3 linked regions of the Arabidopsis thaliana genome follow. The protein of the gene in region 3 interacts with the protein of the main gene of each other region in a pairwise test. Each region holds a gene or a part of one and is shown on either strand. Other genes may lie near its edges. The genes, in order: CAM8, CML11 and APRR2.

Region 1 (10,208 bases), 1.6 Mb from region 3:
ATTATTCTGAGAAATTGGGAGGAAATAAGTGAAAGTGTGGATTGGGTTTTCTCTTTTCTGTATACTTAAATTGGGATTTTCTGTTTGAGGGGTTTTTGATAAAGTGTGGAAATTTTTTTACTACCTGTAATTTTATTATTATTTTCTTACTAAATATTATATGGGCATGGCTTTCTCACAGTCTCACTTTTCTTTTTTTTTACATAAATCATTTTCAATTATTCTTTAAAGTGTCTAGACTAGTGGTTTAGCCATTAGATATTTTCGTTTGAGTGAAGGAGTTCAACTCCTCACTTTCATGAGGAAAATAATATCCAAATACTTTAGCATTCACATAAACTCAATATGCTGCTTTGTTTTAAGATTTTTTGCATTTTCCACAAAAAAAATTGTGTTTCGTATTCATTCGCTAAATATAATTCCAAAATCATATTGAAACACCTATAATCAAAGATTGCAAGAAGAAGAAAAATATCATATCGAAAAAGCTATAATATAGAAACAAACTATGTATAAACAGAATTCCAAAATCATATAGAGAAAGCTATAATATAGAGATTATATTGGATTTGACAGCTTCACAAGTGATAAAACAAAACTGGATCTGAAAATTTCAATGAATGTGGAATAATGGAGAATTTGTTGAGATGGTGTGAACACGAAGTAGTAACAACTAACAAGGTAATTAAGGATCATTGGCTTATATAATAAATAGATTTAGAAAAAGTAATCAGTCAATGTTGATCATCATCTTGACAAATTCATCATAATTGACTTGGCCATCACCATCCAAATCTGCCTCCTTTATCATTTGTTCAACTTCTTCATCTGTTAGCTTTTCTCCTAGATTTATCATTACATGACTCAACTGCAATAACAAAGCTTTTCAAATTAATAAATAATTAACGTAATTGTTAGTCTAATTATTGTAAATTAAGTTGTGCATGTTAATCAGACGGGTCTGACCCTGTACAGAGAATAATAATTGTTTATTATCCATTTGAATATGCAATACAATATAGTAGGTCAAACGGCCTAACTTGAACAATTTCTAATTTCGGTACGAAAAATATGAATAAACCAAATTCATACAATTGTTTAGTTTTTTTTTTTTTAAGTTGTAAGCAAAATACAGCTGGTTTTAGCCTAAGTTTTGACCAATCGATATAGAAAACCCCAAATTAATAAATTGAATTGTGTTGCATGCAAAAAGGTGTCTGCATTAATGTAACTTTTGAGGATGTAAAGAAAGGTATATATATTTAATTAAACTAGGTGAAACATGTGCCCTCCTGTCAAATAAACCAATAAAATCAAACGCATTTTACTCTATCTAACTACTTTGTATTAAAATTTCTTTTGTTCCTCTTCGTTATTCTCTAAAGATTCACAATGCCAGCTAGCTCTAAGCCCTCACGATGGAAAACAGACTTTCGAAAATATAAAATCAAATAAATAAATGGCCATGTCTTGTTAAAAAATGTTTTAGAACATAAATGAGACAACTATGGATCTCTTTAAATTGGAAGATCGTCTGGCTTTGTTGTCTGATATTTGTCATTGATTCTACATATGTGAAAGTGTGTTTTAGCTGGATTTCTCGTTTTTTCTAGTTAATGCAGAATTAATTGGTCCAAGTGGTTACATAAAAATACTATGCTCATAATTATTGTGCTTAGCCTGTATTTGACGACACTTTAGAGATATAGAGCATGTACCACTTAAGCAAAGAAGACATTTATGAAATTGGTTCATGTACCTAAACTAAATTTGACAATAACCAAAATTTAGATAAGGATTTCTAGTAGATACAAAAATCTAAATAATTATAGCTCTAATCATTTATAACCAAATAAAAACACAGTTAGACCGTACATGGTATTATTGGAGAACGTTGTACAAAACGCAATCCAGTGCATCGAACTAATTTGTTTTTATAAGTTCTTAAAGAGGATTTTCCGCATAAGTTCCCTTTTAAGTTCTCAATAAGTCAAGCATATATCTAACTAAATATACACATTGACACATATATCAAATTAGTAATAAAGAGAGAAAAAAAAGAGAGTAAGAGTCACGGACCTCACTGGCAGAGATGTATCCATTTTGGTCTTTGTCAAAGACTTTGAATGCTTCTTTCAGCTCTTCCTCCGCATCACTTTCCTAAACCATCACATGATCATGACAACAACTTAACATACAAAAAAACTATTGTCATAAAAGTCTTTGTTTACATTATACACATTTACGTGTCTAGTTCTTCACAAATCAGATTTATTCGTAGTGAAAAACCGAAAGCAAAACAGATTTTGCTGTAATACAAAAGCTGAATATTTCCAATATATTTCTTAAGAGTTTTTAATAAACTAGAAGCATAATGAATGAGACAGCTCCATTTTGACTAGAACCTGTTAGGATCCCATATCAAAGAGTTACAATAAGGGACCTATAACATAATATATAAGAAATCATATAGACAAAAAAATTTCACTTGATGTAACTTTTTGGTTTGTACGTGGCTACGTTAACTTGATGTAATTAGTTGTGAAATAAATAAGCATGAGAGATCAAGAGAGAGTGGAACCTGAAGTTTTTTGGCCATGAGGTTGAGAAACTCAGCAAATTCAATGGTGCCGTTGCTATCAGAATCAATCTCAGTGATGATATCATGAAGTTCTTGTTCTGTCGGATTCTGATCCAACGAACGGATCACTGTTGCAAGTTCTTCCACCGTTATACAACCTATTAAAGGATTCCAAACAACCATAAATAAATGTCACACAACATAATATTAGTCGTCGTCTTTATTATCTTTATTCTATATATGACCATCTAGAGAAAGGAAGAGAACCGTCGCCGTCTTTGTCGAAGAGACAAAAGGCTTCTTTGAACTCAGTGATCTGATCTTTTGTCAGTGCTGTTTCTTCCATTGTTTTCTGAGAATATTTTGAAGACAAAGAGAGAGAGAGAGAGAGAGGAGGGAGCTCAAGGTTTGAAGTGCTTAAATCTCTGATTTATGGTCTATATGTAGAGTTGTGACAAGACCTTTTCTACATTGGACTTATGTACTTTTCAACTACTTTAAGCTCTTTAATTGATTCTCAAATTATTTTAAATTGAAAGGGCAGTACTGTTTTTTTTTTGGGTCTAGAACTCTTGGATTGAACAATTTAATTCTAGTCACATGGCTGAATCCCATATAATAAATTAATAATTGTCGCTGTTTGTTAAAGTTCAAATCACTTGTGCAAAATTAGTTTTGAAAAAATCATCTTATTCTAACAAGTAGAGACTACTACAAATAGACATAGAACGACAAGTCCTAAAACAAACAAGTATAAGCCTACAATAGTCTTTGATAAAACGTCCCTAACTTTTTCTGTCTAGTTCAAACCCATTAGCCACTCATTTTGTACGCAACAATTATGTTCTTTTGTTTTTTGTTTTTTTCTGTTTTTTCTTAAATAAAAATAAAAATATTTTATTGAAATGATAAAAATATAAATTTACAATCAAAAGATTTTAAGCCTATACAAATGATCCTATAACAAGAAAAATAAAACATAGAAGCATACATCGTGATTCACAAGTTTTGGTCAATCAACTCAACCAAAGCGTTGAAGCCGAACGAGTTAGATAAAAATATGACTATTTTGAAATTTTATCTTATAATTAAGTTTTTTGTTTTTTGTTTTTTTAAGAAGAAGGGTAACTACTGCTTGAAAAAAGCATAATGCTAAACTATTTGCATTAAAAACTTTGAATTGGAGGTCTAAGGATGAGCCGTCAACGGTAGAAACTCAAAGTTCTCTGGCATAAACTCCTCTCGCGTCATGTGACAGTGACTCGTTGTTCAAGTCCATAAGCTTTCCAATAATATGGAACCTCAAGAACCAAATTATGCGAACGATGCAAGCTCCATCTACCAATTTCTTTCCCCAAAGTCGGATAGAGCAGAGCATGATTTATGCGATTCATAACCACATCGAACACCATCGATCTTACTAACTCTTCTAGAACACAAAACAAACGCAACAAGAGGTGATAACTCATTGCAGCACTAACTTCAATTATGAAGAACCGCACTAGCAAGACACATTCAAAACCAGGTAGCACAAATAACTAGTCAAGAAATACAAGTGATGTCAACAAAAGAGACCGCAATTTAGCCACCACCGCAGCTACCAAATACACAATCTGAGAACCGAGACGATGCGATAAACTTGACGCTTTAAACATGTTCTTTTGTTTTTTCTGACTTCAAAATCAGTGATCACACTCTTTTAATACTCAGAAAGAACAACATTGAAATTTGTCTACGTACATCTCAACATAATGACCTCATTGGCCATCTTACCCGCTCCTGTCCATAGAAGACATATTAACGTACAACTCGACTGTCCATAGCTGTGAATGCATTAAGGCTATGAAGCTTAACTTGGCCAGCATGATTTTGTAGAATCCGTGCGTTCCCACACAATGATTTAAAAGTTTATCCACACAAATCATTCTATTTTCAAATTTGTTCCGATCGACGACATTTTCTAGAATTCACGGAGGTAGGAATTTTGAGAATATTACAGATTCATTTGAATCACATATTCACACCACTTATTTATTTTCCTATACATTTTGTTTGAATAATTGCGACTGTTTTTATATAACAGATGAAAATATATATTCCACGTCACATATCATAATTGAGAAGAATATCTACTGCTAAAAGATTGTAATCATTAAGAAGAATATCTACTGCTAAGAAATAATTTAGGAGATACTTGCTGACTTGCATTGAATCTGCAATTGGTATTCGAACAGTAGGGGAAATGCATGTATCATACGTTGCATTATAAGTTCATAAGCACGATATAAGAAAATAATTATAAATAAACGATTAGACGTAGCAAATTAACGAACCAGCAATTTCTTTTTGAAACGATTCAACTTTTCATATTTTGAGTTTCTAGAAACGAATTGTAAAAACAAAAAAAAAAACAAAATTATGGGGCTTTTCTTCATTAGTAATCTTTGCATTTTTACTCTTCCTAGGTGGGAAAATAATTCAGGTTAAAATATAGATAAAATATATTTGCAACCTTAAATAGCTCACTTTAGTAATACTTTTTTGACCCCTTTAATTAAAAGAATTAACATAGGGAAATTAACGAATATTTGTTTTATGTCATTGCAATTACAACAAAATATTTAGACAACGAAGTACGTTGTCCTTTCGGCTAATGGAGTAAAGAGGAAAATGAAACTGATGGGCCTCAGCACAAACCAAGCCCAAGAAACAAAAGTGGAAGCAACGGTCATCTGGTTCAAGCAAACAGAGCTTAGAAGTTTCCTCAAGTAATGACAAAAGTGGAGCTGGCAATAAGGAGATAACGACTTCTTGTATGGGAAAGCAGTTCAACATTAAGCTCGAGAATCGTTTCTCAACCCTTGATTTAGAAAACTCAACCTGATGTATGACATCTGTCAAATCTCTCTAAGGTTTAGCCAAGTCTCCACCTTTGTATTTAAACATCCTGAAACTCAAGTTGTAAGCTTTAAGCATTCTATCAATGGAAACCTAAAAGGATTGATTTTGTCTTCAATGTGAAGCGTCAACTTAGATATTCTGACTAAGAAAAACGACACGACATGATATTAGAACTGATAGATATTTGTGAAATATGATGCATGGTTTTTCTCTTTCTTTTTTTAAAGAATAGAATGCATAGTTTGAAAATGAGCTTTAGCTTATTCACATAACAAATAACATGAGACTATGAGAGAAGAAATTTTATATTTGCCACTAAAATTATAGGTTAAAATTCAGATTATACTCTTGAGTTTTTTTAATCCCAAAAAACCTCTCGTATTTGTAACCACTGTATAGAATTTTCAGTAACTAATAAAAAATGTAGGTTAAACCAGCGGTTATATATGATTTTGTATTTGAGAGATTATGTTTTGGGGAAAGCTTCGATAAAAATCTATATATCTGCTTAATTGCGTAAAGCATTTGCTAGATTATGCGTCTAAGAACAAGCCTATTAATCTGCTGATTTTCTCAACCAAGACATTTTCATTCTTGGGTCTTGGACTATGGTTTGCTAAACAAATATGTGAAAAAAACGATACTTTGCTACTTACTGGCAAAATGAAAATCAAAACTTTTTTACGTCTTTGGAAATAGTTAACTCTTGATGATTCTTTCTTGCACTATTTTATTTAAATGCTTGAGAGAAGAAAATTTCAGTGAGAAGCTCACATTTGCATTATTGAGATTGGGTATTGAAATACTTTGGATTTTCCTTGCATACATTCTGTAACGCTGCTTTATCCATTTGGGGAAATCAATCTAAGAAATATTTATTGTTAACTCTCCTTGTTTGGGTATTATTATTCTATCGTCACACAGTAACTCTGATCTCTTCTCCACCCAATGGCGGAGACATAAATATTTTTTAGGAGGGTCAAACTTATCGTTAAATTTTTCTAAACATTCTAGGTATTTCTAAACTATTAGTTATTTTTCATTCCCACCAAAAATAATAATAATTGTTTTCATAGAAGCAAAAATAATATCATCATTCTTGTAAAGTTCATAAATTATTGTTGTTTCTGGATATAATAAAAATACTTAAACTTTTTTTTGTGAAAATACATGAGTAGGTCACATGTTATTCTTTGTTTTCTATTTAAATTTAATCTAAAATACTGGTAAAAGAATGATATACATTTTTGTTACTATAAAACATTTCGTTACCCACACATATAGATTAGTTTTTGTGTATCTAAATTCATGTTTTTTATTAGTAATATGAATTTATAATTATATTTAGTTAATTTTATAATACAAGAATTAACTTTTTCCTGAAGAAACACGAAGGTTATGCACAACATGCTTAATAGTTTAACACAAATAGAAAATTAATTAATCAATGACCAAAATATTATTAAGATAAAACAACAACCAACATCATATACATGTCACAGTACGGCTGAACCATGCTTGTATTAATAAAGTAATTCCAAAGACTATATTTCTTATTACATTATTAGAACCTGGCTTGTAAATTCCTGACCGCATTAACATCCATTTGGAATGCTCTTGCAAGAACATTCGGGTCTACATCTGGTTTAGACCCAAATATTGTGTTAGCAATTGTGATAACACCTGCGTTTTGGCTGCTCAAAGCAGCGATTGCAACTGCTGGAGTTCCTCCTAGGTTGAACTGGAAATGGATGAGTCCTTCTGGAAACACAAATACGTCACCCACGTTGAGTGTTTTGGCGAAAAGACGGTTTCCGTCTTGGTTTGATGAGATAAACCCTACAAGTAGAGTTCCTTGTTGAACAACCAAGATCTCGGTGGCACGTGGGTGGGTGTGAGGTGGGTTCTGACCGTTGGGTGCATAGTCTATACGAACAAGTGAGATACCAAGAGTGTTTAGTCCTCCAAGGTTGTTAACATTGACGGTTGTCACGTTGGACCCAACCGCGTTATTTGTATTTCCAGGTCTGTTGAGGCTCGAGAAAAAGAAATCATCCGCGAAAACTATCCTTGGATCCTTGCAAAACTTTCCATTCACAAACACTAGACAAGGTTTTGATAAAAATAGAGTATTAGTAATGCATAAATCAACATACAAATATATTTAATAAATTAAAAAATGATCATGTGCTTACCGCCATCTGCTGGTGTGTTGACACCAACACAAAAGTCTTGAAGGGGGCTTGGATCGGAAGCAATTACTAATGGAAGTGTCAAAGCAAAGAGAGATAGAGCCGCAAGAAAAGAGAGACTTTTTATCGTCATATGTATGTATGGAGACGATTTGTAGAAGACAAAAAGGTTTTTGTTAGTTTCTTATTTGTGGTGTCAATGAAGATGTGATAAATTTATGAGACAAAGAGTTCAATTTATAGATGATTTTCGGTTTGAACAAGTCCATATGTATGTATATTCCAATGTAATTTTCATTGTCTATAAGTTTGAAACGGTAAAATGCTGTTGAAACCGTGTTCCCTCAGGTCATATTATATTGAGAATTATTTAAATTATTGTATTGTTACCATTGTTAAGTGTAGCTTTCATTATCTCGAAGTTTGAAATGGTAAACCTTTAACTAAACCGTGTTGCATCAAGTCGTATTATGTAAGGAGTTATTTAAAACATTATCTTGTTACCATGTTTACGTTAGTAGTATCTTAATTAAACACACAAAAGATCTTCAACTGAAAAAGGAGGCACTTGAAATTTAAAATGTTAAGTGTCGGCATTGATAGAGTTATATAAGTTACTTATACTGCAAGAGGGTTTATTCAATAATATGATTGTTTCTCAGGTTTTCATGAACTATACCTGATGATTTTGAGAATATTTGATTATTTTATTTGCATGAGTTTTAGAGTTGACATTGAGAGTCTTTGACAAATGTCAAATGTGAATTTTTGGTGGTTTTGGGTTGCTTGATTCGTTAAGCGATAAAACATGACCATATCAATATATAGATGTTAATAGACTGATCATTGAAAGAGAGAGGCTGTTACTACTTACTTGTCACGGAAGAATATCCTAGTTTTGTAGAGAGATTAGGAAACGCATATAAGAAGATACTGTGAAATTTAAACGCATATATATATATATATATATATATATATATAGTTGTATAGTTATATAGCGTAAAGTAGATAATGTGAAGTTTCATTGAAAGATTTTGGTTTTATATTAAGATTACAAACAAAACATTATATCTTTGTTTTGACAGCTTAAAGAACTCAACATCATGTCTGATCATGTCCCTATAAGATGTGCAAAAACGACTATCGGATTCATATCAAAACAAAATTTGGATTATTTCCCCTCACCACTGACTATCTCATGTACACGGACATACAGTTTGTATATTATAGCTAGCTCATGTGTTTATATTTCACCAAAGTTTTTTAGTTTCGACATTGTAGCTCTTATAACTCACTTAAGTTCTACAAATATATGTTTCGAGTACTAATGAGTTTTCTAATCAATTTGTTTTTGTTAATTATTTCATTGACCGATTGAAATAAGACAAGTAACCAAAGAGGCCACGACAAAGATTTCAAGATACAAATTACAAATACTTCCCAAATCCCAACCAAATCCGTAATACTGGGGATCCACACAAAACAAAAAAAAAAAACAATACAAATATATGAACGGAGAAATGTGGGCTTTTATTTCCATCATTATACTGCCAATTGGGCTTTTACATTAATAACTTTGGCCGACAAAAAAAAAAAAAACGAAACAATCCAATTCCCGAATTTACCAAGACGCGAAACTAAGTGGACTGTGCAATCTCTTTTATACATTTTTAATCGATCGTCTAACAACATATAAAAAGCAAATTCAATTGCAATTCAACAACGAAGGAGTAAAAAGATCAACTTCCCTCCTGCTACGTGGTCCACTCTTATTAGCACAAACATCACTAATTTTCCTGCGAAAAATAGCTGTGTCTATATATTTAAACCTTTTTAATTACATCAATTCAATAAAAACAGAAGAATAAATAAATAATTCCGAAAATCCCGATGATGACTGAAAGAGATATGCCCGATCTTCCACGCCACAGTAGTGGAGCTGTGGAGAAAGAAGACAAAACTGTAATAATGTTCATTATTACAATTTTCACTGACAGTTTTTTTCCATAAAAAGAAGCTACCACAATTACTACTAGCAGTAAAAATAAAAGAAATCTGAAATATAATAATAACAACCAAAAAGTGAAAAAATCAAACCACACCGTCCCACTAAGAGGATTAAACGGTAATTTGCTCTATCACGTAATATAAATGACGTGGCATCATCGTGTCTAGTCAGCTTCTTCTTTAATAACCTCTTCAGCTTCAGCTATCACACTGCACCTATAAAATCAACCAATCTCGTTTTAACCCCAAACCAGAAGAAGAAACAAAAATCGAAATTCTCATCAATAGCAAAAAAAAAATTACTCTTAGATTTTCCTCAAAAACCTTAATCAATCGCCGGGAAAATGAATATTCCGGTGACTATTTCCTCCATTACTGTTTCTAATAACGCTGTTTCCGACAATCGTCGTCATGTTTCCCGTGAAAATCGTCAGCGTTAAGAAAACCGTCACTTATATTTTTTTTTCTTTTCTTCTTCGTTTTTGTGAAGATGATGATCCACTGATTTGAGAGTAGTAGCTTGAGAG
Region 2 (9,995 bases), on a different chromosome or scaffold from region 3:
TTAATTAAACACAACATATTATTTTATTCTTCATTAATTAATATAATATTACAATCGATAAACCAAACATAATAAAAATAAATTACATCGTACTAATTCTCAGAATTAGTATATTGCGACCACAAATGTTTAATTAAAGCATTTCTAAGTTCAATATGAGCTTCTCGGTCTTTAATTTGTCGGTGCCGAGCCAAAAATTCTTGAAATCGAGTATCATCATCACCCGTCATCTCAACTTCTTCAATTGGAACTTCGACCCGTTCTTCAATTGGTGCATCAATATCACGCTCATCTTCGATGATCATATTATGCATTATGATACAAGATGTCATTATATCATGTAATATTGTTTTATTCCATAAGCGTGATGGCCCCGTTACGTCATCTTCATCATTTTCAATCAATACCGAGTCATCACCTTCCCCTGGTATGAATTCAATTGATCTAAATATGGATAGTGAAGATGCCAATTTTAGTTTATCTTCAAGGCCTATGAGTTTGAAAAAAGCAAAGCGAAAACAACAATCTGAAGAACAGTTTAAACAACTTTTGGAGCAAAATGATAAACTTATCAAAGCTATTACTAAAGGTACTTCTGAAAGAAATGAAATTCAAAGGCAGAAGATCGAGGTAGCTAGAATGAAAGAAGAGAATAAAATATTATTTGCAGATTTGAATTCTATAACTGATCCATCCTCTCGTGCATATATTGAAAATGAGAGAAAAAGAATTTTGGAAAAAAGAGCGCAAACAAACCAACATGAAGAAGATGGTGAAGGCTCCCAATATCATGGATCTCAATATCGAGCATCTCATTATCAAGAAAGTCCATTTCATGGAAAACAAGTTCAAGGAGAACCGGATCAAGGTGAAGACCAAAGATCACCAAATAACCAAGAAGATTTTACCCAATATTATAATTATCTTAGCGGAACCGGAAATAATTTTCCTTAACCATTTGTGAAGCTTTTGTTATGTTTTTAAAACATATCTCGTTGCATTTAGTTTTTATGTTTGTGTGGTTTAAATTTTTTAATTATGTTATAAATGTATAATTTATTTTATTGTATTTTCAATCAACTTCGGTATTAGTTTTAATATTTTCTACTAATCCATCATTTTATTACATTAAAGATTACAAAAATAGTACTTATAAATTATTTTTTAGTTACAAGCCTTAGTTAGATTACTTAAATCTCATTACAAATCATATATAATCTATTATAACTAAATAAGCTATTTTAATATATAATAATGTTAACACAAAAGAAAAAATTATTATTTTAATATTTGCCGTGGCTATAATAGTGCACCAAATATAGTGTTACACTGTAAAAAAAAGAGAATCACACTATTATAGTGCAAATTATACTGTCTGATTGGAGTGAAAAAGTAAACATGCCCACGTTATTTTAACGTTTTCCCGTGGCGTTGGACTTGGCCTAACAACTCCGTTGGAAGATGAGAGATCGTCATTGCTTCAATCTGACGAGCAAGTTTCATTTTTTACACGAATTGGAGTTTGTTTGGTAGGGTTCAGAGAATTCACAGAGACGAAGAGGAAAAGTTGTAAACGAGGAAGGTCGATTAAAGGTTAATGGGCCTGTATACCAAATGTTTAACGGCCCATTATGGCTTTCTTCACTGTGTTATTTTTGGTCATTAAACGACTGTTCTTTGTTTATAAGCATAAACATAAACCACATTTAACAATCAAAATTGCAATTTCAAAGAAAAATAGAGTTACTTGGTGGCATGGTGGGTCAGCTAGTATTCGACTGACAATGTCAGTTTCTATAACCTTTTCAAGAGAACGAAACTACGTTTGATTTATCAATCTTTATAGCAATAATCTCCGTACAATATTACATATGATGAATCTGTAATGCCATCTCTGAGTCTCGACCACTCATTAAGATCTTGGACGGGTGACAAAAGAGTGAAACCGCGTACCAAGCTGTGCGAGCTGTTTTCTTTCCATTTTTAATTTCAGTCACTAAAAAAAGATTAAGGCCAAAGACAAATCAATTGTTGGATACTGAAATAATTTAATTATTCGATTGTTTATTTATTTGATAGAATATACATCAAATTAGGAGAGATCAATTCGGATGAACCACACACTTCTCATTGTCAATTTGACATTTTTGAATTAACCAAAAAAGAAAAAAAAAAACTAGAGAGAAATGATGAAATAGTGTTAAATTGCGTACGTCAACATGATATGTACAAAGGACCACGAAATCCATCTACAATATTTGGACGACTTTTAGAATTTCGTCTATCACAATTCTCATTTGTTTATCATATTTTCCATTTCTATTTATAAACATTAAGTGACGAAATTTTTATTCATACTCATTAAGAACTAATCGGTATAACATAAACTGTATAGATGTTGCTCTTTTTTATAGTCTTCATTGTAAAAAAAGAAAAGTACATGTTTTGACTTCAAACTAATCATAACCAAAAGTTTTGACAAAATTGATTAATGAGGAAATAATCAGTGAATAGGTCCATGAGTCCATGGCCATTAAAATAGAGAGTAAACCAACTATATACTGTATGATGAACCGGTCTAAATAATATAGATTTAAATGGCAAAAAAATCCCATTTTTCAGTCTCTTTGATCAGATTGGGATTAGGTTAGACCTCATATTTTAACCCTAATTCAGATGACAAGTACTCTAACTAAATCTAACTATTATTTCACATCATTATGTAAATGTGTACTCAAAAACACACTAGTACGATTTATAGTGTACCTTCTTAATATATACGGCATTAAATTGTTTTCAACCCCTTAAAAGATGCCATTCAACATCTACAATAATCTTTGCGGGACAAAAAAGGTCAAATACAAAAGACAAAACTAAAAGCAATAACATTAATTGGGTCATATACAACTTTACATTTAGCACTTTTGACTTTACAAAATCAAAACGCATCCAAACACTATACGTAAGCTTGTGTAATAGTTAGTGTAATGATAATGGTACCATAAAGCTAGCATTACTAAATTATATCAAGACCATGTAAACAAGAATACGGTTGATTATTTAAATTGTTGTGTACAAAAGTTATTAAATCACTAAGTTCTATCAAGACCATATCAATCAAAAAAAGAACTTGCTCATTTAAATGATTGTATATTCGTATCGTTATCGTATGCATCATTTCCTCCCTTTAATATTTTCGAATATCTACATTCTAGTCAAGTCAACATGTTGCGATGGAGGAAAAGTTCAATAGTATTGAATTTAGGTCTTGGGAATCACCAGATCCCTGTACAGTTGGAATTTTAGTCATAAATTTTGTATAGAAATAAAACCATAATATATGAGGTTCAAATTCTAATAGTTTAGGATTCAATGCGATCATTTAACACTTCGAAATCCTATCCGAGTTGAAGTTAACTTCTTCTTTTTTTGGACAAATTTAAAGATAAACTTAATTTCCTCTTTTGTATAGGTAATAGGTTAAAGGGGTTAAGAAATTGTTTCAGGTTTACGTATTTCATATGTAGAAATATTACTGAATCATATCAAAATGTCTTTTTTTTTTTGTGTGTCTGATTTTGGTCCAGATAGATTCTGAATTGTTTTAATCACTCTTACGCATTAGATTCTGTCTTTTTTCCACAATGGCTAATTTGATTAAGAACCTAAATGATTGTTTGCGACACGGCCAATTCAGCTTAGTCAACAAGTTTAAGCATGCATTTAGATGTCGGTATCATTATGCAAAGTCTACACAAAATGGTGTGTGATTCGTTGAAGCTGAGTCAGCTTTTAATTTAATTAGAAAAGTCTTTATCTACACAAAGTCGCAAACTATTAATAGTAATATGAAAATATTCTTAGATGAACTTTGCAAATTGCAACACCTTCATACAATTTCAAATGTAACTTACATAATCAATTAATCAAGTACATTTTAAAAAAAAATATTTTGTAAAAATTATAATTGTGAAACTTAGGATTTTTTTTCTTTCTGTCGAACTATATTTATAGATTATAATGCAATAACTGAAAATAAGATTACAAGAAACAGATTAACCACAAGATGTACATTTTTCTTGGCAACATATATATATATGTGTAGAAGATTCAAAAAGTACGATTTGCTTCTAAATAAATGATGGTTGTTTTATCAAATTACACATTTATTCAAAATAAATCAAGAAAATGACTAAATTGAGGAATAAAAGAGATCGACACGTTTTCCCGTAACGCAAGTGCTCGGTCTACCTATTTCAATGCTCTTTGTCTCCTCGTCATCTATCTTACAGCTGTTGAAACCCACACCCATTTATTTTACATATACACATACTTCATGTTTTTATAATTTTTTTTTTTTTTTTTTACTATAACAAATTACTACATACTCTTCGTCTATTCCTTGGGTTTCACAAAACAAATAGTATCGTTTTTGAAACTCTACTTTCATTTCACAAAAAGTAATTTTGTATTTTTAAATCAAATTTCAAATTTTTTCTCTATTTTTAATTTATTTAGAGAAGAAAAATTAGTTTGAATATTGTAACAAAGAAAATTGTAAGTTTTTTTCTTATTTTAAAAATTTACGTAAAAATAGTAAAATAACACTATTTAAACAGAGAAGACAATTCACAACCCATCTGCATAATGTCTTTGCTTGGTATTATATGTATTTTGTGCGACAAAAATTGTTTTTTTTTTTTTTTTACCACACTATAGTAACTTTCAAGAATATTGACGTGATTCTGATCTTCAAGGCTTTCAAGTTAGCCGTGTATAATAAGAAAACAAATATATAATATTACGAGTACAAAAAGAATTTTTAAAGAGTTTCAATCAAATTACTAGTTAGCCTAAAAATATCCCTTTCAAAAAAAAAAAAAGCTCTAAGTTCGTATAAAACTTTGTTAAAGGAAATAATATTTTGAATCATGTGACTGGAATTAAAATTCCAAATAAATAATTGGGAAATTTACTAGGGAGACCCATATTTTAGGTTTAATTACTAGAATGATATATCAAAAATGTGAGTTATATGAGTAATATTTTGGTCTAAAATATCCTTTATTTGCTTTGTTAGGAAAAATAATATTACAGGAATGCCATTATTATTTAATTTCAGCATGGCAAAAAGAATAATTTTATTTACGAAAATGCCACTCCAGTATTTTATTTCCAATAATTTGTGCAATATAACTTTTAATGAAAAGAAGTGGAAAAAGGTGAATGAGTCCAAAGCAAGAAAGTCGCAAAGACTTCTACAAATAAGAAAACAGAATGAGAGTTGAAGCACTTCAAAGCTTTTCAGCTCTCTCTCTTCTCTTCTCTTCTCTTCTCTTCTCTTCTCTTTTCTCTCTGAAGAAGACTACTAAGCAAGTTTTAATTGGATGGAAGAAATTCAACAACAACAACAACAACAACAACAACAACAACAACAACAACAACAACAACAACAACAACAACAAGAACTGACGCAAGAACAGATAATGGAGTTCAAAGAGGCTTTTTGTCTATTCGACAAAGATGGTGATGGATGCATCACTGCTGATGAACTTGCCACTGTGATCCGCTCATTGGATCAGAACCCTACCGAGCAAGAACTTCAAGATATGATCACTGAGATCGACTCCGATGGCAACGGCACCATCGAATTTTCGGAGTTTCTCAACCTCATGGCTAACCAACTCCAGGTTCAATTCTAAAATGTTACATCAATGAAGCATATTTGTTTTTAACATATATTGATTGTTTTTTTTTTGTTTTTTTGTGGTTATAGGAAACTGATGCAGATGAAGAGCTGAAAGAAGCATTCAAAGTGTTTGACAAAGACCAAAATGGTTACATCTCTGCCAGTGAGGTAAGCAAATAATTTACTCTTTCTTCTCTTAATTCTAATTCATACTAATACTCCTTTAATTAATGATTGGAAGCATAAAAAGGAGTATGTTACTTATGTGTTAACTGATTGTAGTATTATTTTGTCTAGTTTCGTTACATGAACCAATTTTTCAAAAAACAAATAGTATTAATTTTTTATTTTACTTGAGTTGAGTAGAACACAAGCTCGGAATTTAGATTTATGTATTTTCTTATTTTTATCAACAATTGTGCATTTAGTTAGAAAATGACAACAAATTGATAGCTAAATCAAGGTTAGAATCTTTTGAATTAATGAAAACATCAGATCACAAGTCTAGACGATATTTCGAGTTTTACAAGAGATCCTTTATGTGTCTTATTCATAACTTGGAGCAGAAAATGACAACAAGATATGGCTAATTATGTTTTTCTTAATTAATTGAAAAGTGTCTTGTGTCGTAAAAAGCTAAATTGTTTGAGGCTTCGAGCTAGCTGGCATTATGACTTTTTGGAGATAACGAGGTCAAAAGAAATATTTAAAAATATTGATAACATTTAGTAAAATGTGTTTATGATTCTATTGGTTTATTGGGCAGAGCATATGTCTCACTTAAGCGTAAATAATATGTTTATACTTTCACACCCAGTTTCTTCTTCTTAATCATGCATTTTCGTTCGAATATATAGTTCAACATTTTTGCTCTTGGAATATAAGAACTCAACAAAGACTAGTATTCATCTATTACATTTATTTTTACAATTTAGTTAGAGTTGCTCTTTTTTCCCTATCTTTTTGTTTCTGAATTTCATAGATTTATTTATCTACAAAAACTATTCGACGGACGATATCTTATGCATTGGCCATGATCCATGCTTAACAATAAACATCATTAGTAGATAGTAATTCTATAATCTTTGTAATTTTGATATATAATTACAGTTGAGGCATGTGATGATTAATCTTGGGGAGAAGCTAACAGATGAAGAGGTTGATCAAATGATAAAAGAGGCAGATTTGGATGGTGATGGCCAAGTCAATTATGATGAATTTGTCAGGATGATGATGATCAATGGTTAAAAAATCCTAATCATTTTTACTCTTCATTGTATTATCTTTTATAAATTTGTTTAATCCTTCTTCTTTTTTCGGAATATCGCATTATAAATTAATCTTAAGCTTTTATATTCAATTGAACAAGTAGATTTTTCTTTTAGGCGTGTGGATTCTTACTATGTATCTGATGTATAGTGTGTTTCTTTCAGTCGATGTGAAGTTTGTCCAAATTTTAGTGCGTGACTTTGACCAAGAGATATATATGCTTCTATGAGACGAATAGCCGAATATAATCAACGAATAAGCCATTTACAAATTATAACCAACCAGTATGGACCAATGGGCTGAAATATACCAAGCCCAACCAGGTTTAGCATTATACAACCGCTATTTATACAATTTCAGTTACAACTACAAAATTGATGTAAAATAAATTTTACTAGTTCTTTCCCCACTAATTTGTTTTAGATTTACATGTGATCTAAATATATATACTATCATATCATTGAGTTCAACCATACTAAAATAATAAGAACTAGAGATATGATTTGGATGAATATATTCTTCATCACTTCTTTTTTTTTGGTGATCGAAAGTACTGTATAAAAAGAGATGGATTCACAAATACTTGGGCTTTAATTATCCAATATGAAATTGTTATTATTGACTAGCAAGTTTCTCTGAATTTTAAGTTTTTAACATTACTTAAAGATTTTTTTTCTTTATTGGGCTTATAAAGCCCTTCAACTGTTGGATTTAGTTTTCCTAAACTAAATAGCAATTGTACAAGGAAAATCTATATTATTGATATATAAGAACTATTTGCTCCATTATGGTATTTACGTTATAAAAATTGTGCTAAACCATAGAAACCCTAATACTAGATTTCTCTCCGACAATGGCTAACCCTAAAGTTTTCTTTGATTTGACCGTGGATGGCAAACCCGCTGGTCGGATCGTGATAGAGCTCTTCGCTGACTTGACTCCACGGACGGCGGAGAACTTCAGGGGTCTGTGTACCGGCGAGAGAGGCATCGGAAAGTGTGGTAAACCAATCCACTACAAAGGATCAACCTTCGACCATATTGTTCCCGATCTCATGTGGTGTGGAGGAGATATCATCTTCGAAAACGAACCCATCCACAGCGAAGAATTAGACGACGAGTACTTTATCTTGAACCACGAAGACGGTCCAGGTATCATCTCCATGGCCGACTCCAACGGATCTCAGTTCCAAATCCACATGAAGGACTATGGCTTGCAAGTGGACGGTGATCACGTTGTGATCGGCAAAGTTGTTGAAGGATTGGATCTTATGAGGAACATTGAGAAGGAGGTCATAACTACGACAACAAGGACGCCTTCAAAGCCTGTGGTGATCGCGGACTGCGGTGAGCTTTCAGATTATAGGTCAGAAAGATGTTATCTTATGAAGAACATTGAGAAGGAGGTCATAATTAAAACAGCAAAGGATAACAAGCCCGTGGTGATTGCGGACTGCGGTGGGCTTTCAGATGATAGATCTGAAAGATATTATCTTATAAATATAGTTGTTGCTTGCATGGTTTTGATGTGTTTTTGGTCTTGGTTCGTTTAATTTAGTTTTAACTTTTGGAGTTTAAGATAGCTAGCCTATCAATGAATGATAAGCATAAATTTTAGCTATTATTTGCTACTAAGAAAATCTGTTGTAAGCTCATAGAAGATATTTGCCATAGCATGTGTTGCTTAATATTTGGGTGTTTTGGTGTGTTTCGTGCATTCCGAGTTTGGTGTTCCCGTTTAAATTGGCTACCATTTAATATTGGAAAAATGTTTATCAGCTACACGAAGTACAACCGAACACATTGTCACACATGCAAATTTTAAAAATGTCTCGTTAGTTATACGAAGTATTGACATCACATACAGACATACACGAACAAACATAAGTAATGTTGCCAACACCATAATCATCATACTTTGATGTTTCGATCATCAAAATCTGGCATTGACTAATGTTGACCAAACAACATATTCATTTTTTTTTTAATAAATTGTGTTCTCAACTTTGTTCGGAGTTAGTTTTCTAAGAAAATGGAATTAGATTTGATTCAGTTTCTTCTACTTTTGGTAGGCTAGGATAGGAGGCTCCTTCGTTAGCATATATATGGGTATTATTCCGTTATCGTTTCGGATCAATCTTTTGTTCTTTTTTATGACTGAATAGTATAAATCTGAGCGGAATATTTGAGAATTGAAGAGCTGTTAAGGGGAATGATTTGATTTAGGGTTATATTAATTGTTTGTTGTGGATTAATGGAGTTGATAAATAAAATAGCTTTGGTTAGTTTGATTTTTTTAGCAGTTGGTGTTCCTTTAGTTAGTAGTGTTTTCAATTTTGATGTAGTTCCTTTTTTATAAGCTTAACAAAATTTTGATCGCAGATCATACAAATTACAAAGGATTGATTTACATCTAAGGATACTTACGCAAACCTGTGTACGCTAATGAGCTGGGAAGAAGGACCTTTGAAATGATCAAATTAGCTTTGCTAATGTAATGTAGAGAACACTATTCTTGTTGACAGTTTTTACTTTCTATGATGCTAAATTTTATCCGTGTGAATGGAAAAGCATGCTTCTATTGCAAGAACAAAACATCAGCGTCAGAGACTCAGAGAACAAAAGTGGACCGACTATACATAAGCCCAATACAAATAAAATGACTTTGGTCAACGGACGTTAAGAATTAAGAATTGACTTATATATAATTTGTAGTCAATAACAAATGACCACAGATTCTTCCACATTGGATAAGTTATAGTAATATGCTTCTTCTTTTTTATAATTGTTATTGCAGTAGCGTACTATCGAAGAAAAGTTATATGAACGACGGAAGTCTCAATTATAAACAAAAAAAAAGAACAGAATTTTTTGGGCCCCATAAAATGTTTATGATATGTATTTTTAGGGACTTCTTTTTTATCAAGAAGTTTTCGATTTCGATTTCACAAATGTCCAAGACAAGTTTTCGATTTCACAAATGTCCAACAGCCTAAAACTAAACCTGAATGGTAGATTTTACATGTTAAATTTCACTA
Region 3 (12,597 bases):
AATCAGAATTTCCATTAAAGAAAGGTGTCAAAAAAAAGTTGTAAAACTATATAGTAGTGATCAAGACGAATATGTGCATTTATGTTTTATTTTTGTTCCCTAGTTTTTAATTTTATTTTTTTGAAGGAAGAAAAAATTAGTTCCATGTGTTTTTGCAAGATAGTTGAAACCTTGGACGCTTGTTATGTATGATGCGATCTTGACATTTTTTAATAACAGTTATTTTAAATAAATTTATGATATAAACGGAAACTTCTAGATAGTTTTAAATAACATAAAATTAGTAGAAAATATCAATAACAGTTCGATGACATTATTGTAGGGAAATTGATTCATATGTGGGTCGCTATTGTACGTAAATGGATACTACTGTTTTGGAAGAAAGCTATAGTTGTCATGGGTCACCTTTTGTCTCATGACTCTCATCATACATTTATAGATTACATATTTACATTATCATAACATTTTACACATATTGATATAACTATCTCTAATAAAAAAAAAACACAATCTAACTTTATAGCACATAAGTATTAAACATAATGAATTTATCCCCAACAGTTTTAAGTTCCGGTCGAATAAAAAACTATGGGTTGTTGTGACATCGGCTCCTTTATCTACAAACAAAAAGAGAAAAATTATTCTTCTTTTCTTTTTGGGCAAAGATGGAATAAAAGGACCAATAAAAATAGTAAAAAATACAACTAAGACTACTTTCGTATAAGTGATGACTCTATAAAGGAAACTGTTTTTTTCATTCAATTATTACATCAATACTACTTTCGTTTGAATTATAACATTTTCGTACAAAGATGGATGCATATACACATTTTGTTTGGCTTATCCTTCCCAGACAAAAAAAAGTGGCTTATTGTTTTTAACCTAAATAATCCGACTCGTATCAATACACTCGCTTAAGAATTTTTATTTTCTTTGATAACAGGAATTTCGCAAAATACTAATCTTTCGCATTTTTGGAGTGCCGAATATTGATGTTTTAAACATCTATAAGGAGTTAAGGATTAAGGACCAACTTTAAACAAAATCATAGTTGAATAACTCGAATCATAATTCCTCATCTCCAAGATGAGTCATCAAATCACTCGATCACAATAAAATGAGATATTTCGCCAAAGCTCAATTTCATTAAATTATAGGCAAGATCATACTCTTCCGTAAGGAAAGCAAATTGGAAACTATTAAACTTACATGGATAATAAAAGATACACAGGTTGATGTATTTTTAGGAACTACAACATCCAGATAACGAAACCATAAGAGAAAAAGTTATTACTAGAAAATAGATAAAGAAGTCTAAACATCCTAACCAACGAACTATTGACCTAGTGGTAAATTTCTCGGGTGAAGGTAGTAGGTTCAAGGCACGTTAGAAGAAATCTCTTCTCCAAAAAAGATGAATTTAACTTGGTGTGAATTCCGCCTCGGAATGTAGAACTTTTGGAGTTGAACTTCCAGATATTAAAAAAACAAAAAAAAATCATTTTAAAGATAATGAGTTCCATGGCGAAGATAAACCACTAGAACTGGCGGAAAGTTAACTGATGACATATCGTCAACCACCTTGAGATACATTGCCTTACAAGAATAACAAGATTCCGTCGAGTTTTGATAATCCTAACTTGCTTATAAAATGCTGAAGCACCCATTCCTTGAAAAAGGAGGTCACAAAAATGAGAATAATATTCAAACATAAAAAATAGTAGATACCTAATTACTTTTGATAGTTGAAAATTGAAATCAATATGGTATACAAAGGGAAAAGAAAATGGTACACAACGGAAGAGAGGAGCCGTGATTAATTTTTTATTCGGCCAAATCACAAATATAGAGTAACACTGAAACACGTAAATTATCTCAATGAACGCTTTTAGATTACAAGACACGTGAAATGAAAAAAGCTCTTTCACGACCACGATCTTAAGTTTATCTTGTGTCGGACTAATAAGATTTGAATGATTCAACAAGTACTAGTAACTACTTTTAAAAAATTTCATCATAGTAACCTTAGAAATTAAAAGCAATTATTTTAATCTCTTTTAATCATAATATAACGCAAGAGATTTCAAATTAGTTTCTTCCCCACTGAGATATATATAAAAAAACTTATCTTTTTATAAGTAGAAATAAAAAGACGAGTTGAAAATTGTGTGGCTAAAACTAAAAGAGAATAGCATTGGGACACCTAAAAAGTCAGAACTTCATTCAATTACATTACATATACAACACATAAATATGACAAATGTTAGTTGTCTATTTCATGTGGAACATGAAGACTACATAAATATATATCTCATCGTTTTCTTTTCCAAATTGTGTTTAAAATGTATGAAAACACCGGTATATATTCGATTTTATTTTTGATTATTATTCTAAAACCAAAAACCAAAAAGATTTGAACTGAAACTAAACTAAACATTTTTTTTGATAAAAATATATTAAACTGTTGTATCGAACAACTCCTAACAAACATAAAGCAAAACAACATAATTTATTTCTTGATTGTAAGATTTTGTTCATATTTGAGATTTGAGTTACAAAGACCACCATTTGAAATCCGAGGCAAAACTGTGGGCTATTCAGTATTTCTTACGTTACTTTCATAGGCTCATATATAAATGTTTTTGTTTTCTTTCTTATTTTGGCTCAATTAAATAAGCTGTTACAACTTACCTCGATTGGTCCGTTACGTACAAGCTTCATAAATACAACGTTGAATAAGTTCTTCACAGTGACCAGCTCAACTAAGGTAAATGAGAAACGGAAGAAAGCTGAACTTAAAGCTAAGGAACGAAGACAGACATTTACCTTATTCATCTTGTGGAGAGGAACAAGTAAAACCTTTCGCATTGCTCCTATCTCATTGAGTATGAGAACTGATAGAACTCCAAACCATGATAATTGCTCCAAACTATTCCTGAAAAGCCGGTATATGCAACATAGTTAAGATACGCATAGTCATAGACTAAATACTTATTTGATAATAAGTTTTAATTCTCTCCGTGTTTTAGCTCTCGGGTTTTGTTTGGCTTTTGATGTCTGAAAATGTTTTTTTGTCAACTTATTCTCATTTTGCGAGTGACGGTTTAGTGTGTCTATTAATTATCTGATTTGTCCGGTTTTGGTCTTCGATTTGTTTGGCTTTTGTTTCTTGAAGGTCCGGGCTAATTTAGTCGGGTCATGTAGGTTTCGTTTATTCAGTTCATTTAGTTTTCAAGTATTTGTAACCTGCCTTTCGTCAACACATCCAAGTATCCAATATAATCTATTAGATGACCAAAAAAAACAAAAAAAGGAAACTTGTAATTTACAAAGCATAAACATTATTTGTTGATGTGAAATCTCTAGTTTTGAGATTTACTTCTACTCCAATCTTGAGTCTTTAATGTCATTATTTTACTCCAATTTTGATGTTCAATTTCTTGAGAAAAAAAAACGTGTATTATGTATTATTGGAGAATTTTTTACCGAATATCTCTTTAGTATCGTAAAAGAAAAATGTTTATCCTTGCATACATAACATATAATTTGCTCATACGGTTTTTATAAGTAATGAAGCTTTTTATTTTCACCCCCAAAGAACAAACATCTGATCATCTCCAATTTTGACCTCAAAAGAATACGATGAAGTTTGAATAATTATGTTAAAAGGAAAATAAAATAAAAGGATGGTCACGGAGGAACGAACAAGCGAAAGCAATGATCATTCCAATGAGTAAAAAATGACCATCTACTAACGAAAGTTTTCCATTATATTATGTTTTTGCCTTTTTTCAAAATAATCACATTGGTGAACTTTTTGTAAGAAAATTTATACTATTAAAATTGAGTAAGAATAATGACATTAATGACTACCAATTCATAACTTTACTCTGTTTTAAAATAATAATCACAATTGGATATGGTCAAACTAAAGTTTTCCATTTGCCGTTACAAGAAATGCTATATAAGTTTCGTTTGGTTGTTGAATATACCTCATTATGAATTTAGGACAATCAATGCTATTTGTTTCATCTGTAATTAATTATATCTAACAATCAATTAATGACAATAGAAAAGAATAATGTGTTTACACTAATTCTGTATTCACTAATCTAGATTTTTGCGCAATTTGAATTTTAAAGTTTAGTGTAAGGTTTTTTTTTTTTGGGTGCACACTGAATATAGTTTAGCCTAAGTAATACTAGATATATAGTAGTAAAAGGAAATAGGTTTTAATTAAATTAAGAAGTTTGGTTAAATTCAACTGTTGCTTTGAAACCACACACACATGTCATCATAAAAGTTGGGCAACGAGTTTGAAAGATGGAACCTCTGCAAAATAAAGTTTTTCTTTCCCTACCTTATGCATATATAATTATTTTCCACAAACATAGTGTACCATCAATAAAAATACATATATGATCTATATTTTGGCATAAAGTTTTCCATTATTTTCTTGTGATAATGATTATGGTAAAGATTTTTAGTGCAGATTAATTTTTTGGTTATTAGATTATTTGTTCTTTAAAATGCAGAAACATTGTTGAAACTTAGAACCAAATGAAAGCTGAATATTGCTTGTTTTTTTTTTGTTTTTTTTTTCACAATATTGCTTGTTTTAGTTTGTTATGTTTTCATTTACCATTCATTTAGTAGAATATATTCATTAGTTAATAAAAAAGCTTTTAAAAGAGTTTTCTTATCATGTTAGTTCGGTTTACTTCGCACCGTTTTGATTGGTACAAATGGGTATAGTTCTATACCGGACAATAAATTTTGTTATATTTTTGTAAAATTATTGGTCTACATTTAATAAAACTAGGCTAATTTTGATATAATGACATATTAAGGGATTTAGATTTTTTTTTTTGGTAAGGTTTAGATTTTTTCTTGTATTGTTATAGGAAATTAATCCTATATATTGATTAATAAAGACAAAAATAATAATTAATCCTTATCTCTTTTTTCCTCTAACCTCAGTTAACCTTTATCTTAGTAAGACTTTTTATTCTCTTTATCTCTGTGCATAACCCAATGACAAGAACAACACTAGTCACCAACTTATTATAACTCTTCATCCATTTTCTCTCTCTCAAAGTCACCCCCCAAATTTTTTTATTTTTTTTTTTAACTTTGAATGTGACTCAGGATAGAGAGAGGGCGAGACAGATAAAGAGAGCTTGAGGAAGGATTTAAGCAGATCTGCAAGAAACACTCTCTCAGGTAAGGTGAGAACTCTAAAATATGAATTTACTCATTTGACTTCTGAATTGTGAAAGTTTGTTTGTTTGGTTTTAAATTTCCAAAGCTTTTCTTTTGATCAATTACATGTTCATTGCATGTGATGTGAGCATGATCTCTTATCTGGATATAAGATCTTCTCCTTCTTCTGCTTATGGAAAGAAAAAAACATCAGTTTTATCGAAAGTGCAACTTATGATTTGATCACAATTCTTTTTCTCTCTGGGTATATATCTCTCTCTCAATTTCCCTAAATTCTAGGGATTTGCCTTTCTCCTTCATTAGTTGTCATAAGCCTATGTTTTAGTATTTGTTAAAGGTCATTAGTCTGTGTTGTTAAGTTAACTAATCACTGCATGCACGAGTTAAACAACACTAAACTAATAATATATTCACTCTTAAATGATTCAAAAGCTTTGTTAGATTTCATGGCATGGTGGTCCACTCTTTATAAATAACAAAATCAAGTTCCTCATGAATTATTCTTATCTCATCAATAATACACACACCTTTTGAATATTTACTTTTCTTGTATCTTTATTCTGTCTAATTTTTTTGTTTATTCTATTCATTTCCCCTTTTTTTATTAATAAAATCTAGCCAGTGTTTACTTTTTTTCCGTAGAATCAAACCGGCGGCGACAGTGACGGCGGCGAAAAGCGGCGGTGTTGGCCGCAAAAACGATGCAAAACCAGCTATGGTCATTACCGCTAACGATTTATCAAAATGGGAAAATTTTCCTAAAGGACTTAAGGTTCTTCTTCTCCTCAACGGCTGTGACAGCGACGGAGATGGCTCCTCAGCCGCCGAGACTCGATCAGAGCTCGAATCAATGGACTATATCGGTAAGCCACTAATTTTCCTCTGTTTCTTACTTTAAAGGTTATTTAATCAGTGGTTATGCATAAATATTTAATCATAAGTTATGTGAGTGAGACTATACTAGTTTAATATTAGAGTTGCTTTAGCTCTTACATGTCCCGTGACAATTCTAAATTGTATCGCCTTCTATTATATTTGCATAAATACACACAGACATACACAGGTATAGATTGGTCAATAGCCTATGAATAGAATTATACCATTATTGTGTATATATATAGGGGGAAAAATAATATTAATATGTAAAATGCAACGCTTTTAGTTGATACGTACATAAGTAGTAAAAGCTTGTGCAGTTATGTTTTGGACTTTTGTTAGTTTATATTTATGAACCAGGATCCAAATTATCTCGAAACTGTTTATGGATTTCTGTGTGTTTTGACTATCAAACACATAATGTTAAGATTATAGATTCAATTTTTGCTTTTTTGGAACTTTCTTGCAGTTACTACATTCACCGATGAAACTGAAGCACTCTCTGCGGTTGTCAAGAACCCGGAGAGCTTCCACATTGCCATCGTCGAGGTGAATATGAGCGCTGAGAGTGAGAGTTTCAAGTTTCTTGAGGCTGCCAAAGACGTTCTTCCTACTATAAGTTTGTGAACCTTTTACAAGTACCCTTTTTATTTTTTCACAAATCTTTACAATACGAAAAGATTGTTAAAATGTGGATTCTTTTATGTCTTTACAGTGATTTCAACCGATCATTGCATCACTACTACAATGAAATGCATAGCGGTAAGTGATTGCGACTTGCATTTGCGTAGATGTATAAGAATGTTGGTTATGTGATGATGAGAATTGATAAGTGTTTTTCAGCTTGGTGCAGTTGAGTTCCTACAAAAACCGCTCTCACCGGAGAAATTAAAGAACATTTGGCAGCATGTTGTTCATAAGGTTTAGTTAGTTTTTTCGCGTCTTTAATTCCTCGGTAATATAATCATAATCTAAGAAAGTTGTTGTTACATTTTTATGTTGCTAGGCATTCAATGATGGTGGAAGTAATGTTTCGATATCACTTAAGCCAGTGAAAGAATCCGTTGTCTCGATGCTTCATCTTGAGACCGACATGACAATCGAGGAGAAAGATCCAGCGCCATCAACACCGCAATTGAAACAAGATTCACGGTTACTAGACGGTGATTGCCAAGAGAACATAAATTTCTCGATGGAAAATGTAAATTCCTCGACCGAGAAAGATAACATGGAAGATCATCAAGACATCGGTGAATCTAAATCAGTCGACACTACAAACCGCAAATTAGATGACGACAAAGTGGTTGTCAAAGAAGAGAGAGGAGACAGTGAAAAAGAAGAAGAAGGTGAAACCGGAGATCTCATAAGCGAGAAGACAGATTCAGTTGATATTCATAAGAAAGAAGATGAGACTAAACCGATTAATAAATCATCCGGGATCAAGAACGTGTCTGGTAACAAAACTAGTCGAAAGAAGGTAACGTTGTGTTTCTCTTGACGCTCCTCAGTGCTAAAAGATTCAAGCTCTCGTTATCATTGTTACTACTTTCTTTTCTACAGGTGGATTGGACACCAGAGCTGCACAAGAAGTTTGTGCAAGCAGTTGAGCAACTCGGCGTTGATCAAGCGATACCCTCGCGGATTCTTGAGTTGATGAAAGTAGGCACCTTAACAAGACACAATGTAGCTAGTCACCTTCAGGTAATTAGATCCCAAGGGTCGAATGTTTCGCAAGATTTCTGAATTCTTGTAAAATGTTACACAACTTTTGAAAATTTTGACCAGAAATTTCGGCAGCATAGGAAGAATATTCTTCCAAAGGATGATCATAACCATAGATGGATACAATCTAGAGAGAACCATAGACCAAATCAACGTAATTATAACGTTTTTCAACAGCAACACCGTCCCGTGATGGCTTATCCCGTTTGGGGTCTTCCCGGTGTTTATCCGCCAGGAGCGATTCCACCTTTGTGGCCACCGCCGCTGCAGTCCATTGGTCAACCACCTCCGTGGCATTGGAAACCACCTTATCCAACGGTAACATCTTTTTATAAGTCAAAGATTCTAGCTAAAATAAAATAAATCACATTTATCTGTACAAGAAAATGTCATTACATATCTACAAATTAAACGATAAAATGAACTCATACCTATACATTTTAGCTAATGCATTCTCTATATAGACATATTTTGTGACATTATGATAGAACATCCATAGCTAAATCGTCCATATATGATGTTTCAGGTGAGCGGTAATGCATGGGGTTGTCCGGTTGGACCGCCTGTGACCGGATCATATATTACTCCTTCGGTGAATATTTTCACAATCTATAATATTAAACTTTATATTTATGGAAATTTAATCATTACAAAAATCTTATTTTTTAATTTTTAAAGAGATTTTTGTTTTTTTGTTGCAGAATACTACCGCCGGCGGATTTCAATATCCCAACGGAGCTGAAACCGGCTTCAAAATAATGCCGGCGAGTCAGCCGGTTAGTGTCAACAATTCTCTATTTTCTTTTTAAGACATAAAAATTCCTAATTAATTAATAAAAAATAAAATTTGCCGGGTCGGGTTGCGATGTAAATGGGTCGGGTCAGGACGAGGAAATGTTAGATCAAGTGGTTAAAGAAGCGATAAGCAAACCGTGGCTGCCGCTACCGCTCGGGCTAAAACCGCCGTCCGCGGAGAGCGTTTTGGCTGAGCTAACGCGTCAAGGCATCTCAGCCGTCCCTTCTTCTTCTTGTCTAATCAACGGCTCTCATCGTCTCCGCTGACGTGTCCATGATGAAACAGAACCCGCAGATATGATGACGTCATGCGTGGCGTACTTGTCCGTGTCTGACGATCCGAAGCGGGAACTGATTCGGATCCTGAGAGTTGTTTTTTAATTGTTGTTTTTAATTTTTTGTTGTCATAAAAACATTTGTCTCTATTGGTATTATTAAAGAAGATCGGACGGTGGAGATAGAGGCAACGATGTTAGTCTGAGGACCACAAGTGGACTCTGCGGCTGTAAGTAGATCTCGGACACGGGATTTTGACAAGTCGGAATCTGACGTGTGTGCGTACTCGCTTTTGTGGGTTGTCGAGAATTTAATAGTTGACACTGTTTTAGGTGGATATGAGATATGATGATGATAATAATAAAAAGGTACAACTCAAAGATTCCGTGATGACATTTTGTTCTTTTTTTCTATAAATTCCAAGATACACACAACAACAACAACAACAAATATACATCTTTTCTTTTCTTTTTTTGCCAAGAACAAATATACACTTATTCACATCGGACATAAAATGTTTTACATTACTTAGATGTGTTTGGATTTCTATTTTTAACTTATGTGATACATACTGATTGCGTTATACAAAGCACAAGAAAGTGCTAACAAAATTATCGAAGTAGACAAATAGAGAGACTACGTTTTATATTGGGCCTAAAAAGAAGATGTTCAGAATTGGGCCTCGTTGATGACTTTATCGCAGCATAATGTCCAGGGGATAACATTTTCAGAAGATATCAAGAGAAAAGAGTAATGAGTATGACAATATAAGTGGAAATTTATTAAAATTCGGTAAAATGTATACCAAAAAGAAAAATCAGAAGATCCTACGAGCTAGAAAACAAACAAATATTGCAAATATAATATCTGAAACCAAGTGGATGTATAATTGTAAAATCGCTTGCAATTTTATATATATATATATATATATATATATATATATATATATATATATATATATGATCATGTGAACTTGGAGTCTTATTAGACACGTTATTTTATTCGGTGGAACTCAACTAGAGACTAACTATTTTTGTAGAGTTTACGAACTTATAACATGCTTATTATACCAAATCACATGATTCAGTTTATCTGAATAGGCTGTTTTTACTCTAACCAAATTGTCAACCAAAATAAATTTAAACAAGTTTTCGGAACAGAAGATTCCCCTCAAAACATACAAGTCATATTATTTTTCTAGGACATTTTTTTACCAATGCATACATAATTTTTGGTGTGTAATGCACGAATTCGTAATCGTATTTTTTCTTTTGTCGACACTTCTCTGTATATGTCTGGTTAGCTACAAATGCACTAAACATTTTCACATAATTGATAAAAGAAGTGCATTGTGGACCAAGAAAAAGAAGCTCAATGGTGGAGACTGCAACTCCTTAGCCGTGTAACATTGTTTTTTTTTTGTTAAAGTAGCCGTGTAACATTGTGACACACATATTTCAGTTGTCCACAATTTCTAAGTGCTATTGTGCTTCTCTTTTACTTCTTTTCCCCTTTTTTTGGCGTCACTTTTAACTTATTTTATATGTAATTTGCCTTTTATTACAATGTATAAAAAATATTCTCACGTGAGCGTTCAAAGCATTTAAACGGTCGATAAGAAAATTTTTGAGCGTCGGCATCATTCACTCAAAGACATTGTGAAAGCCACGAATACAATAGAAGAAAGTGCGTTTTAAAATAACATGAACACTCTTACTTAGCAATGAATATAACAAGTTCATGGCGTATATGCTATATATATTTTGAATCATATTAATTGCTTCAAACATTACAAATACTCAGCAATCAACGTTTGATTTGTATTTTACAACGCTTTACTCACTTCAAATGCTCTAAGCATATTTTTTTTAAAACAAATGTAATACTATTAGACAGCTAAAAACGCAATACTAGAAACCCTTGTTTAATTTCCTTCTAGACTAAGTTTTTGGTCCATACTACGAATATGTGATGATAATGCCACTCTCTTGCATGGTGGGATCTCCAATTCTCTCAAACCCGTATGGTTCTGAAATCACCAAAGTGTGGAGCAAAAGATAGTGATTTCTGATGTAGAGAGATCTCACATTCATTCTCACATTCCAATTTGTAATTTTGTATGCAAACAACAACATCACCCTCATTTTATTCCTTTTTATAATATTTTTGTAATACTATTTTACTTCAACTCTTGTAATAAAAAGCGAATATTCGACTTTATTTTTCATATTTGGGATATCACATTGTTTGCATTGCTGTAACAGATAAAGACCAATGACTTTTATTACAAATCAATTTTGTTTTGTTTCTTTTTTTGCAACTTTTGTATAAAATTGTTAGTAAGAAGATAAGCGATTAGGGACAAAAACGTCGCCGGTTGCTATGTGAGTAGTGACGAGTCAGATCAGTGGCTCACAGCTGTGTTTGTAGGTACTGTAACGGTACTCTATAATTATAACCGACATCAACCAAATTTTGGTTTTTATCAATTTTCAACCCCGACCTATTCTTTGTATCAGTCACATTTTGAACCCCAAATGACGCTTTTTCTTTATCTTTAAGGCTGATTACGATTCAAGACTTAAAAAGAGGTTTTATATAACAAATATTCCACATAAGTTTCTTTATCTTTCTGTAACGTACTAACGTGTATGTACTCTTTCTCAACCGTACCTCTCTATATACGTAAGTATGTAACCCTCTATCATTTTTATTGTAACGCATTAAGCTTTTTTCTTATGAAAAAGAGATAAACACGTTAATACTTATATAGAATAAACTTTATCTGGTTTCTTACAATTTTGTTTAAATAGAGTGTTATATTCAATAATCAATAACTTTTTCAATGTCGCCATATATTCCAAAAAAAACGTTTTGTGTTATGATCCCTACTTATGACCGATAGAAGAAAATTCAGAATTGGAAAAAAAAACATACTCTAAATAATTTGTTTTACCATCGGAGTGTTACTGTGTTAGATACGTCGACCAAAGTCCACAGGAAAAAAGAGATAAAAATTACTATTCCTAAATAATAGCTAACTCAGCCCTAGATCCACTGTGCCTAAAACCATAAGTCCAAATACGCAAGCCATGCAACCAACAAGTTGAATCTATAAAAGACACAACAAATCCAAGAATAGCAATCCTCTGCTGTTTAAAATGTTTTGACATTTTATTCCTCAAACAAAAGAACAAAGCATAATTGTGAACTTGTAAGATGGACGTAGGGCCGAGTAATCACTTCACAAGGATGTATATTTCGTTTTTGTTTTTGCTACGTCCCAGAGCTAAATAGTTATATGCTATTGTGTGGGTCGTACGTAATTAGTTCACATACTTTTACAATTTGAATGATTAGGACTGAGCTGTAAAAGAAAATGAAAGTTGAGATCTCTTCAAGTTTGATTTTCTAAAAATTATGGGGTCAACTTGAAGGTTTAACTCAAACATATCCATCGTTAAGTGTTCTCCCTTGGGCTCACGAGGGGCCAAATATATTTACAAACTCGTTGGTACAACACCGTACACACGCAATTCTCACTTTTAATATGTTACACACACATATACATATATGTTACACCACACATATTGCATTACACATGCACATATAGTATAATAATATGTGTAATGTAATATTTGGGTGGTTTTCTTGTAATATCTTTCTCTAGTAGACCTGAGATCCGCCAGTACTTAAGTGTTAGGG

What was found.
Region 1: the proteins of APRR2 (region 3) and CAM8 interact in a two-hybrid assay, tested with the Arabidopsis thaliana proteins (one study listed by BioGRID).
Region 2: the proteins of APRR2 (region 3) and CML11 interact in a two-hybrid assay, tested with the Arabidopsis thaliana proteins (one study listed by BioGRID).

Annotation. Positions count from the first base shown.
Region 1 is NC_003075.7:8,390,519-8,400,726, reverse strand, and holds CAM8 (calmodulin 8), read right to left. Parts: upstream 3,016-10,208; 5' UTR 2,928-3,015; coding exon 2,849-2,927; exon of another isoform or gene 2,765-2,848; coding exon of another isoform or gene 2,740-2,764; coding exon 2,582-2,739; intron 2,161-2,581; coding exon 2,080-2,160; coding exon of another isoform or gene 2,032-2,079; exon of another isoform or gene 2,022-2,031; intron 869-2,021; coding exon 731-868; 3' UTR 501-730; downstream 1-500. Other genes in the region: GLP9 (germin-like protein 9), read right to left, coding at 7,047-7,585, 7,678-7,807.
Region 2 is NC_003074.8:8,121,228-8,131,222, reverse strand, and holds CML11 (calmodulin-like 11), read left to right. Parts: upstream 1-5,291; 5' UTR 5,292-5,387; coding exon 5,388-5,690; intron 5,691-5,776; coding exon 5,777-5,857; coding exon of another isoform or gene 5,858-5,869; exon of another isoform or gene 5,870-6,799; coding exon 6,800-6,937; 3' UTR 6,938-7,203; downstream 7,204-9,995. Other genes in the region: AT3G22935 (uncharacterized protein), read right to left, coding at 93-490, 757-832; AT3G22920 (Cyclophilin-like peptidyl-prolyl cis-trans isomerase family protein), read left to right, coding at 7,812-8,510. UniProt on the Arabidopsis thaliana protein: Potential calcium sensor.
Region 3 is NC_003075.7:10,000,024-10,012,620, reverse strand, and holds APRR2 (CheY-like two-component responsive regulator family protein), read left to right. Parts: upstream 1-5,001; 5' UTR 5,002-5,228; exon of another isoform or gene 5,229-5,467; intron 5,468-5,845; 5' UTR 5,846-5,938; coding exon 5,939-6,086; intron 6,087-6,568; coding exon 6,569-6,718; intron 6,719-6,814; coding exon 6,815-6,861; intron 6,862-6,942; coding exon 6,943-7,020; intron 7,021-7,105; coding exon 7,106-7,576; intron 7,577-7,659; coding exon 7,660-7,800; intron 7,801-7,884; coding exon 7,885-8,139; intron 8,140-8,347; coding exon 8,348-8,413; intron 8,414-8,522; coding exon 8,523-8,597; coding exon of another isoform or gene 8,598-8,630; exon of another isoform or gene 8,631-8,706; coding exon 8,707-8,883; 3' UTR 8,884-9,775; downstream 9,776-12,597.